Sus scrofa: one gene and its partners. The protein of the gene in region 2 interacts with the protein of the main gene of each other region in a pairwise test. Links are inferred from orthologs where the notes say so. Each region holds a gene or a part of one and is shown on either strand. Other genes may lie near its edges.

Region 1 (3,749 bases), on a different chromosome or scaffold from region 2:
GGTGTACTCTATTCTCACAGGCAGTTTGTTGATCACTGCTTTAACAATGTCCTGTTTATTTTCTAATTTTCCGTTAGTCTGTAAGCTCGGAGAGGGAAAAGACCACGCCTCTTTTGGGCTTAGCTGTGTGCACAGCACCAAGATCCTGACGTGTATAGTTGCCGCTCAATATTTGTTGAATGAATGAATCAGGATAGAGCAACAGAACTCTGCGGGGGCGCAGAGAAGAGCCAGGGGCGTGACCTCCTTGGAGGCGGAGTTTCCCATCCAGGACCGGGACCGGAAGCCTGGGCGGGGCTTCTCGTAGAGGGCGCTAACGCTTCGGGGCGGGGCTGAGCAGGCAACGATTTCGCGCTTAGCGATTTCGCGGGGCTTATTTTCCCTCTCCCGTAGCAATTTCCTCCCCCAGAGCCCTGGCTCACCCGAAGGCACCTCTCCCCACCACTCGGATCCGCTCGTACTTCTCCATCTCATTTTTCAGAGTCACATTTCCGGAATCCTCAAGCCCAGGCGCGGCGCTTGCGCGAACCCGCCTTCTCTAGAGCCACGCCTCCTGCTCTGCAAGATAATTACGGGGCGGAGCCGGGGGAGTTGGGTGTTGGTTCAGCCTCTCATCTGCTTTGGCTGTTTTGCAGGGTTCCTGTGGCCGGGATCCGCAGTCGCCCTTCCAGGGTCCAAGGAATGGAGTAATACGCTGTTTTGGGGGGCGCGCTCCGCAAAGGCCAACACAGCACCAGCCACCTCCCACACACGCATCTCGCCCTCGCAAAGCTTTCTTAGACTGGAGGGGTTCCCTGCGCACGCCGAATGAGGGTTGGAGGCGAGGACCGATCTCGCTCCGCATCCCTCTTTGCAAACTAGTGACTGCTTCGAAGGATAGGGCAGATTCTCACTGGCATGCAAACGATAGACACTACCAAAATTGAACCGAGAGAGTCAGCGCTCTCGGTCTGTGGGGCAGGGTGCAGGGTTAGTTTCGTGTTTGCCTAGGGAGGAACCGGGGAAATCCCGAGCTGTGCAAGTTGATTCGACTAGGCAGAAGGTGACACTGCTGTCAAGACTGAGCCCTGCGCTTGTCAACACCAACTCCCCAACGCACACACACAGCGCTGCCGCTGCCGCAGGGAAATCTGCCTTCAATACTCAACTAGGGAGAACTTCCTTGGGGGAAAATGGGAGGGAACGGGACTACCACCTGAAGGCATCCAGGCGGGAGAGGAGGAAAGAATCATTCGCCTGATATGGGTTCAAATCTTCTGCCCAGAGGTGGGGGGCTGGTTAGTAGTACAATAGTCTAAGATCTTGGCCGGAAGTGAGTTTAATTCCAGGTGTCTACCCACCGCCTTCTGCCCTTCATGACCTCTATAAAATCTCAGTTAAGGTAGCAGGAAGGACGATGATTAGCTAAGGGATAGCGTCCCTATTTCTGAGTGGGTGAGGAACGTGAGGAAAGGGGTGTTTATCTTCTGTTCCCACCCTGGCCCTTGAAAGGGTACCCAAAACTACCCACGTGGAATGACCACTGGAAAGGCCCCATGAGGGCCTGTTGGTAGCTGGCTCAGGCCAGGGTGTCCGGCGGACAAAGCTGCCCTGTGAGCAGAGGAGGGCAAGGGGGAAAGCCACTCAGCTGGGACACTCCGTGTTCTCACCTAGAAACTGATCAGGCCTTGGTTGACCCGGAGCCCCAGAGAGGTTAATGTGTAACCTTGGAGCCATCAGGGGAGGCAGAGCAAACACCCAAACCTCTTGGCGCCTCAGGCTTCTGGTTTTCCCTCACTCTCAGAGCAGCCCCCCACCCCCGCTCCAACTACTCCCTTCTCTTTTACCTCCGCCCTTTCGTTCGCTGAGTCTGGTTAACTCTTGGGCAAAAACACCACCTCCTTCCTTGTACGCCGGGAGGGGATCCCACGCCGCGTGAGGACAGGCTGTCACCTAGCGGTCGTGAGTTGCAACTGCTCCAGGCCACTGGCCGGCAAAGTGAGGGTCACCCTGGTGGCCTGGGCACATCGGCCGTCTTCCCCGCTCCGGCCTCCAGGAAGCGGGGAGAAGAGAGCTGGGACTGTCTGAGGGAGGACTGTGACTGCCGCGCGGCCCCAGGAGCCCAAGAGCCGGCTGGGAGGAGGGGTGGTGATAGGTTAGTCGACAGATTCTAGGCAGTGACTTGGGCGGGATGAGGTAGAGGCAGGTAAACGTGTTCGACTCTGGCCTGAAGATGCTAGCGGAAAAATACGGTCTGAGAGATCATCGTCGGATACGGGGCACCGGCTGGTCCCCAGGTTTAGGGATTTAAAAGACGTGGGTGCGTGACGGGTCCCGCCCAGCTTTGCGGGTAAAGGAGGTAAGGGAGGAGAGAGTTCTCTCAGGGCCCGCCCAGGCAGGGGAGCTGGGACGCCAGGGGATTTGGGTTAACCAGGCCAGGCGAGCGAAGCGGGACTCCGTCGGCAGTCGGGAGGCGCCAGCGAGGGGTGGCTTGGCGGTGGCGGCCCCAGGACAGCCTCTTTTGCCCAAAGTCCGCGGGAGCCTGGCGGGGCCTGGGGGGCCTGAGGGGAAATGGGGCTCTCGCCCTCCGCGCTGCGGAGGCGCCGGAGGGGCGGGGACAGGAGGGCGGGGCGGGGCGGGGGCGCGGGTGGTTGGGGGCGGGGGCAGAGGCCGGACGGGAAGGGACGGGAGGAGCGAAGGGGGCCTACAGGGCTCCGCGGAGACAGTGTGTGTGAGGCTGGCGGCCGCCAGGAAAGGCGTCGGGGGTGGACCAGCCCAAAAGAAAGTCCCTTTCCCGAACTGCCGGAGGAGGCGGCCTAGAGGGCGAACAGACAGAAGGCAGGGAGGGTCAGCATGCCCCCAATGCTGCTCCCCGCCCTGCCGCTGCTCCTGGGCGCCACGCTGACCTTCCGGGCGCTCCGGCACGCGCTCTGTCGCCTGGCCCTACCGGCGCACGTGCGCGCCGACCCCCTGCGCACCTGGCGCTGGCACAACCTGCTCGTCTCCTTCGCCCATTCCATTGTGTCAGGGACCTGGGCGCTGCTGTGGTGAGTGAAGGACTGGGGGAGTGAAGGCGGCTAGGGGATCCCGCATTACTCTTCCCATCACTCATTGGCGGGCTGAGGCCCAGGCAGTCTCACCTGATTCCCGGTTTAGAATGCTGTCCAACCAGGAGCGGCTGCAGCCCCAGGGGAGGGGGGTTCTCACCTGGGAAACGGCGAACACCTGGGTTTCAGCCAAGCCCCTCCTCGCTCCCGGTCAGCCAATAGCACCAGCCCAGACTCCCCGGGCACTGGCATGGTTGTGGGTCCTTGGGGATACCGAGTGAAGCGCCTGCCTTCTTCCCTCCCATCCAGTATATGGCAGACCCCGGAGATGCTGGTAGAGATTGAAACAGCATGGTCGCTTTCTGGCTATCTGCTCGTTTGTTTCTCTGCAGGTAGGTCTTGCTTCGTATTAAGTAGTTGGGAGGGACAGGAATGTTTCTTGCTCAGTCCCGTTTATGACCTCTTCCCCATCCCTCGGCTAGGGTATTTCATCCACGACACGGTGGATATCGTGGTTAGTCATCAATCACGGGCTTCTTGGGAATACCTTGTCCATCACGTCATGGTAAGTGAGCAGGGGATGTGGAATAGGCCTGGTGCTAGCAACCTAATCTAAGCCTTTTTGAATCTGGGAGATAACCCCACCCAGGGGCCTATGGTCTAATGCTAGAATGCTGAGGGTTGGTAGTCTCTGTACCCTTGCTTCACTACTTGAGGCCAGCA
Region 2 (3,422 bases):
GCTATGGTATAGGTCGAAGACGCAGCTTGGATCTGGCGTTGCTGTGGCTGTGGCAAAGGCCAGTGGCTATAGCTCCGATTAGACTCCTAGCCTGGAAACCTATACGCTGCAGGTGCCGCCCTAAAAGGACAAAGAGACAAAAAAATTTTTACGTTAAAAGATAAGGGGAACACATCTAAAAATGAATCTATTAAGAATAATTATGTTGGAGAATAAGGATAGCATGATAGAATTTCTAAACAAGTTTGTACAGGCTTCCTGAGCATTGCAAACTCAAGTTGCATTTTGCCCTAGTAATAATAGATTACTATGATGGTCACACTCCTGAGAGTGTCTCCTGTGTCATAGTAGACCTCTGAGAATTAGAACTACATCTTGAAAAGCTCCAGTGAAATCCACTTAGCACACTGAGTATGAAATTCCATTTGTGAATCCTCTTTTCATTATTTTAGAGTTCCCCATGAATTGGGAAGAGAAACCAGCGAGACTGGTAAACTATTTTAATACCTCTTTAATATTGCTCCGAATTTATACAACAGTATGACAAATTACTGTGGATGTACGATATGCAATGGTTCTTTATTCTCTCCGCCATCATTAAGGCAAGGACAGAAGTAGGGATAAAGTTTCTCCATGAAAGTGCTACTGAAGGTGTAAATGTGGTTCATAGTTTTAGCATTGTAGAAGGATACTTGCCCTCCCTCATAATCCAGGTATATGCCCACCTTGTTGAGGTTGTTATTCAGTTTCAGACTGCAAGAAGGCAAATCTAGAGCCTTTAGATCAGTTTGGTTCCTTAGTCGTAAAAGCCAGAATCCTTGCTCAGGAGTTAGAGGACAGCTGCCCTTCCGAAGAATGGATTCTCTGACAACTCCAACTGTCCATTTTGTCTTCTTTGCTACTTCTACTTCCCAGTACCATTTTCCAGATGTGAAGCCTTTAGAGCCCAGCACAGCCACACTTGAGTCAAACCTCTCTGGATCATCAGGCATTACCTGCTTAATGTCACCATGCCACACACTGGTTCGGTTTTTGGAGAGCACGAGATTTGGGTGAGCAGTTTTAGGGTCCAGTGTTAATGGAGACAGGCCTAGTAAGACAAGAAGAGAAAGCAGGGCATGGGGGTAAAGGGATGAATGCAGGTTCCCATAGACACCAGTGCTTTATCTCCCTAGGCACATATACATTTAGATTAGCAGGTTATTACTTATATACTTTATATTGTTTTGATATCTATGTGGCTATATTCTATATATTTTTACAATGGTAAAAATCAGACTTTACTCTGAAGTAACATATGCTTTAATAAAAATACAAATAACATAAATCTATGCTGATAAATATAAGAAAATATGAATACTGGAAGGGTAAAGATTAGGTAAATGGACCCTAGGAAAGTTATCTAAGGGCAATAAGCACCTCAGTTTTGATATAACATCTTTAAGATGTATCAGGATGCTTTGGGTAAACAGAGACAAAAACAGAATGTGTTAAAAAACGGTACCTTGTGTTAAAGAGAAGATAAGGGCTTTCTTGTTAGAGGCAAGTGAGACTGAGCTAACTGGTACAGAATTTTTAAGACCATGGCGAGAAGTTTATATTTGGTTCAATAGACAGTGAAACGTTTGAGGTCTGAATGCTTAATGCTACTGATAATCAGAATGTGGTTTACAAATGGTTTAATTACCAGTCTGAGGCAAGATATTTTAGAAATTGAGAGTAAGCTCTTAGAAACTTATACTTTTTTTTTCTTTTCAGAAACATATGACTTATTTACATGTTCATGCAACAAACATTTATTAAGTGTCTAAATGTAAGCCCATTTCCTGTGTTAGGTAATGGAAATACAGAGATCAGATACATCTTATATTCATAATGCCCAAACTTTGTGGAGAAATGGGTATGTGAACAATTACAACGGTGTAATACTATGATAGAGGTATATAGAGAGTAACTGCTGAACATAAAGGAAGGATATCTATTTTAAGGGTAGTGTCAAGTAAAAGTAAAGGTCTTCTAGGATGAAGTAAAAAGTAAGCTGATATAAAAGTAAAAATAGAATTATCTAGGTGAAAAAGGAGAAAGATATTCCAGGCAAAAGGAAAGCAAATACACAAACAAGAAAAAGGGTGCACAATATTTTCAAGAGCTGCAGGTACCTTAGCAAGGCTGAAACACAGGGTTATATGGCAGATGATGGCAAGAGATAAGGGTATAAAGGTAGGCAGAGGTCTGATTATGAAGACTTGGTATATCAGGCTAAGGAAGAAACTTACACTTTGACAGAGTAATTTTTTTTTTTTTTTTTTTTTTTTTTTTTACCTTGTCCATAGTATGTGGAAGTTCCTGGGCCAGTTCCTTCGACCCTAACCATGGCAGTGACAACACCATACCCTTAACCTGCTGTACAAGGGAACTTCTGACAGAATAATTTTTATGTCAGTTGATTTAGTTAAAAAACTGGGCTTGTACTTTGTAATCTTTTTTTTTAATTCCACTTTTTCAAGTAATTAACTTGTATTCTATAAACATGACAGGTTGAGATTTAAAAAACTGGTCCTTCATCACAGGTAATTTAGACAAATCAATGGGCAGCAGTATAAAAAAGAATTTCTAAATGAAGATAGGTTGGAAGTGTATCAGCAGCACAAAGTGACACAAATTCTAGATGTGAGATAATTGAGTCTTGGCACAAAATTTGCTAAAGGAAATACAAAAACTATGCGTGTTCACATCATAGACACATATACAAATATGCATACATTTGTTTTAATGGATTTATTTATCCTTGGAAAAAAAAGATCAAACCAGTCCATCTCTCTCATCTGAGAAAAGCCTAAGTCTTTCCATCATCCCAAGGATTTTTTTTTTTCTTTCCAACAGGAGACTTGAAGAATCCTGAAATTTTCCCATATAGGCTGAATCTTCTCTCTCACATAAATCCTCATCCACCTTGGGTTGTCACTCTTTCCAATGTGAGAACTAGGATTTCTTTGGAGGTACTGAAAAGAATTCCTGTCAACTTTTCTTTAGAACCCCAGCCTGATACTAAGCCTCTGACATATCCACCTAGCTCAGTCTGCCCTGGCTCTGAATATTCCTAAGAGTCAGCTGTGTGTCCCCTCTTTTTTTCTTATGCCCTGTTCAGTCCAACAGTAAGTTCTACCAGCTCCACTTTTAAAATACATTTTAAGCCTACTCCAAATATATAGACAAACAACTTTCACCACTGACTTAGAACTACTACAATAGCTTTTTAACTATTCTCTTTCCAGTCTTGCCTGTCTTCAGCCTATTCTGTGCATAGCATGAATAAGATCACTTAGTTCTCCTGTTCAGAATACTTGTATGCCTCCCATCACCCAAGATAAAATCCAGAGTCCTTACAGAGTAAATAAGACCTACCTGATTTACCCACTTCT
Region 3 (3,749 bases), on a different chromosome or scaffold from region 2:
TTTAGAATTGGAGCTGACAGGGCATGCTAATGGCGTGGAGATGGGGTGCATGATGAGGGAGGAGGAGAAAACAAGCACAATGCCTAGGGATTAGATTTGAGCGAATGGAAGGACGGAGGAGCTGATTCCTGAGATGGGAAGACTAAGGAGGAACAGATTTGTGAGGGTGGCAATCTTGAGATGTCTATTAGACATCTGAGTTTGTACTGCAAGGAGGCAGATGGAGAGTCTGCACTAGAGATAAAATTTGGGTAGAATTTAAAGCCATAGGGCTGGATAGCAAAAACTTGGGAGGGCTAACAGCTGAGCCAACAGTTACATGGGGACCCAGAGGAGGGAGCAACTGGGAGTGTCAGGGAATGTATCAGAAAGGAGATAATGGTTAACTGGGTCTTAAAAGATGAGTAGTTTGCCAGAGGAAGGGAGATAATTTGGGAAAAGTTCAAAGGCCTTGGGTTGAACAGTAGTGGGAGCCTGTCTGGTTCCCTGCTACAAACCTAGGGCCCAGCACACAGTATATGCTCAATAAATATTTGCTGAATGACTAGTGTGTTTAACAACTTGCAGACAGCTTGATAAAGCTAGAGAAAGTCAGTGGTGGGGGGAGGGACTGATGGTAAGAGATGAGGCTGTAGCGTGGAAGGTAACAGGAGGCCATATGACTGTCTGCCTGGAAAAGGAGAAGGAAGGGTCATTAAAAATGTTATGCCCAGGGAGGGGCATGGTCAAAGATGCATTTTTAAACAATCCTCAGGCTGTGGTGAGGAAAACGGCGGGGTGGGCTGGGAGGCCAGGTGGAAGGCCAGGAGGTGAGACTGGAGATGAGACTAGTTTAGAGACTGCACAGAAATCTAGATGAGAGATGATGGTGGCCTGAACTAGGGCAGGGGTTAAGGAGATGGAGCCTTGAGATATTCAGCAGGAGAATTTAGCAGGATTGCTGTGGGCCTGACAAAGACCAGCATCCCTGGCATGGCAGCTTAGCTGCTGAAATATTAATTGGTACCTTCTCCCTTCTAGGTTACAGCACGGTAGCTGGCCCTTGTGTGCTTCCTTGACTCAGGGGTTTAGAATGAGCTAAAAGCAGAAAGCCAAAGCTCCTCCAGGCTTTGCCTAAAAATCTGATCCTTTTCAAGAAAAAATCCCACCTGTCCCTCGCCAGGGAGGGAGGATAGGGAGAGAAAACTCTAAAGGTTTCTTGAGCCAGGGAAGGAAGAAGAGGTCTCCAGACTCGAGGTAGAACTCTATGGCAGTTCCCGGGGGGTGTGATAGGGCCTTAAGGAGATAAGCACAGAAAAAGAAGCCTGTAGCCCATTGGTGAACCAAGGATGTGGCTGGGACTTCTAGGGACCACTATTTTTCAATAAGGAAGGTGGCCTGGAACCGAGTTACCTCAACTTTTCTGGGGGTATAGGGATGCCAGTAATGTCTGAGGTGCAGTCTGTCTGTCAAATCCTGCTGCGGCAGCAGTCTGACTTACGGTTGCTTTAAAAAAAATAAAGAAATAGCTACTCCTTGCTCATCCAGACTCGATTACACAAGGGTGATGCCTGGAATGTCTGGCTTGGGAAAGTAAGTGGTGCCAATCCCGTGGCAGGAAAGAGAGAACAGAGAGGAGAGCCTGGGAGTGGGGAAGACAAGGAGCATGAGTTCGGCGTTGGACTTGCCGACTTTCAGGGATCCATGGGACATCCAGATAGAGGCTGAGCAGCAGCTGGATAAAGGGACTACCGTGAACTCAGATTGGAGGTCTGGGCTAGAGGCTTAAGTTTGGAGGCCATTGGGTTGCAGCCCATAATGAAAGCAATGTGAGTGAACAGGATGGCCAGAGAGGCTGAGTGGGGCAGAGAGGATAAAGCAAGATGCAGAGGCAGCGGGGAAAGTGCTCCTCCCTTTCCAGACTGGCTCGACCCCCACAACGCCTCACCACCCAGATCCCAGGGACCGCCGGATCAGAGGCCCGGCGGCGAGGGCGTTAGAAGGGGGCTGCCCCAAGCAGAAGAGACCCCAAACATGTTCTTTCCCCTGTTTCCAGAGCTCACTCAGCAGGACAGGGAAGGCGGAGCTAAAACGCGGCCCTGGGAAATCAGCAGTAGCGGATAACCGAGCGGTTCCAGCCGCGCCAGGAGCAGCCTGAGGCCCTCGGGGCGGTGGCGGGCCGCAGACCCCAGCCTCCCAGCCGCAGCCTTCGTTCCTCTAGGTGAGCAGACGCGGAAGGGGATGGCGAAGGATGTCTGCTAGACCCCGAGCAGTTCTGTCTGGGGTCTTCTCTCGCCGCCCCCATCCTAGGCCCGCTTCCCCTGTTCAGCACCCTCCGCGCCACCTCGGAATCTGCCCCCCGCCCGCCGGGCTCCGCCCCGAGACCCCTCCTCCTCCCCCGGCTCCGCCACCCGGTACCGTCTCCCGGGGAAATGGTCTCGATCTCCACGCCCATCGCGGTCCCACTGGCCCCGCCTCCGAGGGTCCCTGCTGTTGCCCCGACCCCGGCTCGGCTCCGGCCCTGGCCCGCTGGCGCTCCGGCTCGCCTCCCCCGCCGCCACTGCAGAGTCGGAGGAGGTGCGGCTGGAGTCGGGACCTGCGCGGGGAGGGGCCACCGGGAAGGGGGCGGCGGGGCGGAGCGGCGCGGAAAGGTGGGGTCGACCAGGGCGGGGCCCCGGGGAAGGGACCCTGACGCGGCTGCTCGGCAGCTTGACCAGGCTAATGTGCTTTAACCCACCGACTGGGGAGAATGTCGAAGGAAGCAAGCAGATACTAGCACATCCACCCACCCATCCATCCATCCACCCATCCAGCTATCTATCCATCTATCCATTTATGCATCCATCTGTTTAACACATGTTTATCTAGCACCTACTCTGTGTTAAGCTCCGGGAGTCAACCCGGTCTCATAGACTGGAGGGGGAGGGGAAAGGTTGGCAACAAACCAACATTTTAATTAGACATGTTCACTGCCGTAGAATTCAGAACGTTATGGAAGGACCAGAGAGGATGGTCCCATCTAGGCTGTAGGGACAAGCTGGGGGCTGGGGACTGGGGGTGGGGGGGAGAAGAAACCAATCATTACTGACCTTTCCCCACCCACCCTAAACCCCCATTCTCCATCTCGAATAATTCTGACCCACGCATAGGTGGGTTCCCACCTTTCAAGACCGAGAACTGTGCCCTGGGGATACCAACTGAATTAAGACAGAATCGCTTCCTTGAAGAATTGAATCTGTGACAGATGGAGACACACACAGTTACAGCGTGGAGTGATTCGTGCTGTGGGATGAATGAATGAATGATGAGTAAGTTGTACCTTGAGCTCCTCCTCCACGCTGGGCCCTTCACCTCCACCCATAGGAGATCCAGGAATCCGGAAATATTATTTTTTGGAGGAGGTAGCATTTGCTTGACAAATGTATTGGACTTTAAATTTTCTCCCGCCCCCCCATTCTTCTCTGCACTGTTGCAGAAATTAACATGACAGCGACAAGTGGCGCTGGAAGATAAACAGGAGGAGAAAAGCCTGAGCAAATCAGATGTGGGCCCTAGAGGTATTGTTCTTCCACATATCCCCTCCCCAACTCTCCCAGATGGTTAGGGCAGAGACGTCAGGTTATCAGCATCCCTGAAGGAGGACTGCCAGTGTTGTTCAAGAAACATGATGGTCAACTGTACTGTGAGAGTCAGGATCTGAATTTCCAAAGTGTGGCCCAGAATCTCCCAGGGAATCTCCTTGAGCTGTGGCCATGGGCAGGCACTTTTGC

Evidence for each region.
Region 1: the proteins of TRIM69 (region 2) and NEK8 interact in binary tests that used the Homo sapiens proteins (3 or more experiments, as listed by UniProt). The two-hybrid records come from large-scale screens. The link is inferred for Sus scrofa from reciprocal best matches to the Homo sapiens genes TRIM69 and NEK8.
Region 3: the proteins of TRIM69 (region 2) and FKBP1B interact in binary tests that used the Homo sapiens proteins (3 or more experiments, as listed by UniProt). The two-hybrid records come from large-scale screens. The link is inferred for Sus scrofa from reciprocal best matches to the Homo sapiens genes TRIM69 and FKBP1B.

The regions. Positions count from the first base shown.
Region 1 is NC_010454.4:44,961,907-44,965,655, reverse strand, and holds the start of NEK8 (serine/threonine-protein kinase Nek8), read right to left. Parts: upstream 2,562-3,749; 5' UTR 1,827-2,561; intron 807-1,826; exon of another isoform or gene 559-806; 5' UTR 470-558; coding exon 423-469; intron 1-422. Other genes in the region: TLCD1 (calfacilitin), read left to right, coding at 2,833-3,026, 3,336-3,591. UniProt on the Homo sapiens protein: Required for renal tubular integrity. May regulate local cytoskeletal structure in kidney tubule epithelial cells. May regulate ciliary biogenesis through targeting of proteins to the cilia.
Region 2 is NC_010443.5:126,775,316-126,778,737, forward strand, and holds the end of TRIM69 (E3 ubiquitin-protein ligase TRIM69), read right to left. Parts: intron 1,091-3,422; coding exon 549-1,090; 3' UTR 541-548; downstream 1-540.
Region 3 is NC_010445.4:114,632,086-114,635,834, forward strand, and holds the start of FKBP1B (peptidyl-prolyl cis-trans isomerase FKBP1B), read right to left. Parts: upstream 2,585-3,749; 5' UTR 2,435-2,584; coding exon 2,398-2,434; intron 1-2,397. UniProt on the Homo sapiens protein: Has the potential to contribute to the immunosuppressive and toxic effects of FK506 and rapamycin. PPIases accelerate the folding of proteins. It catalyzes the cis-trans isomerization of proline imidic peptide bonds in oligopeptides.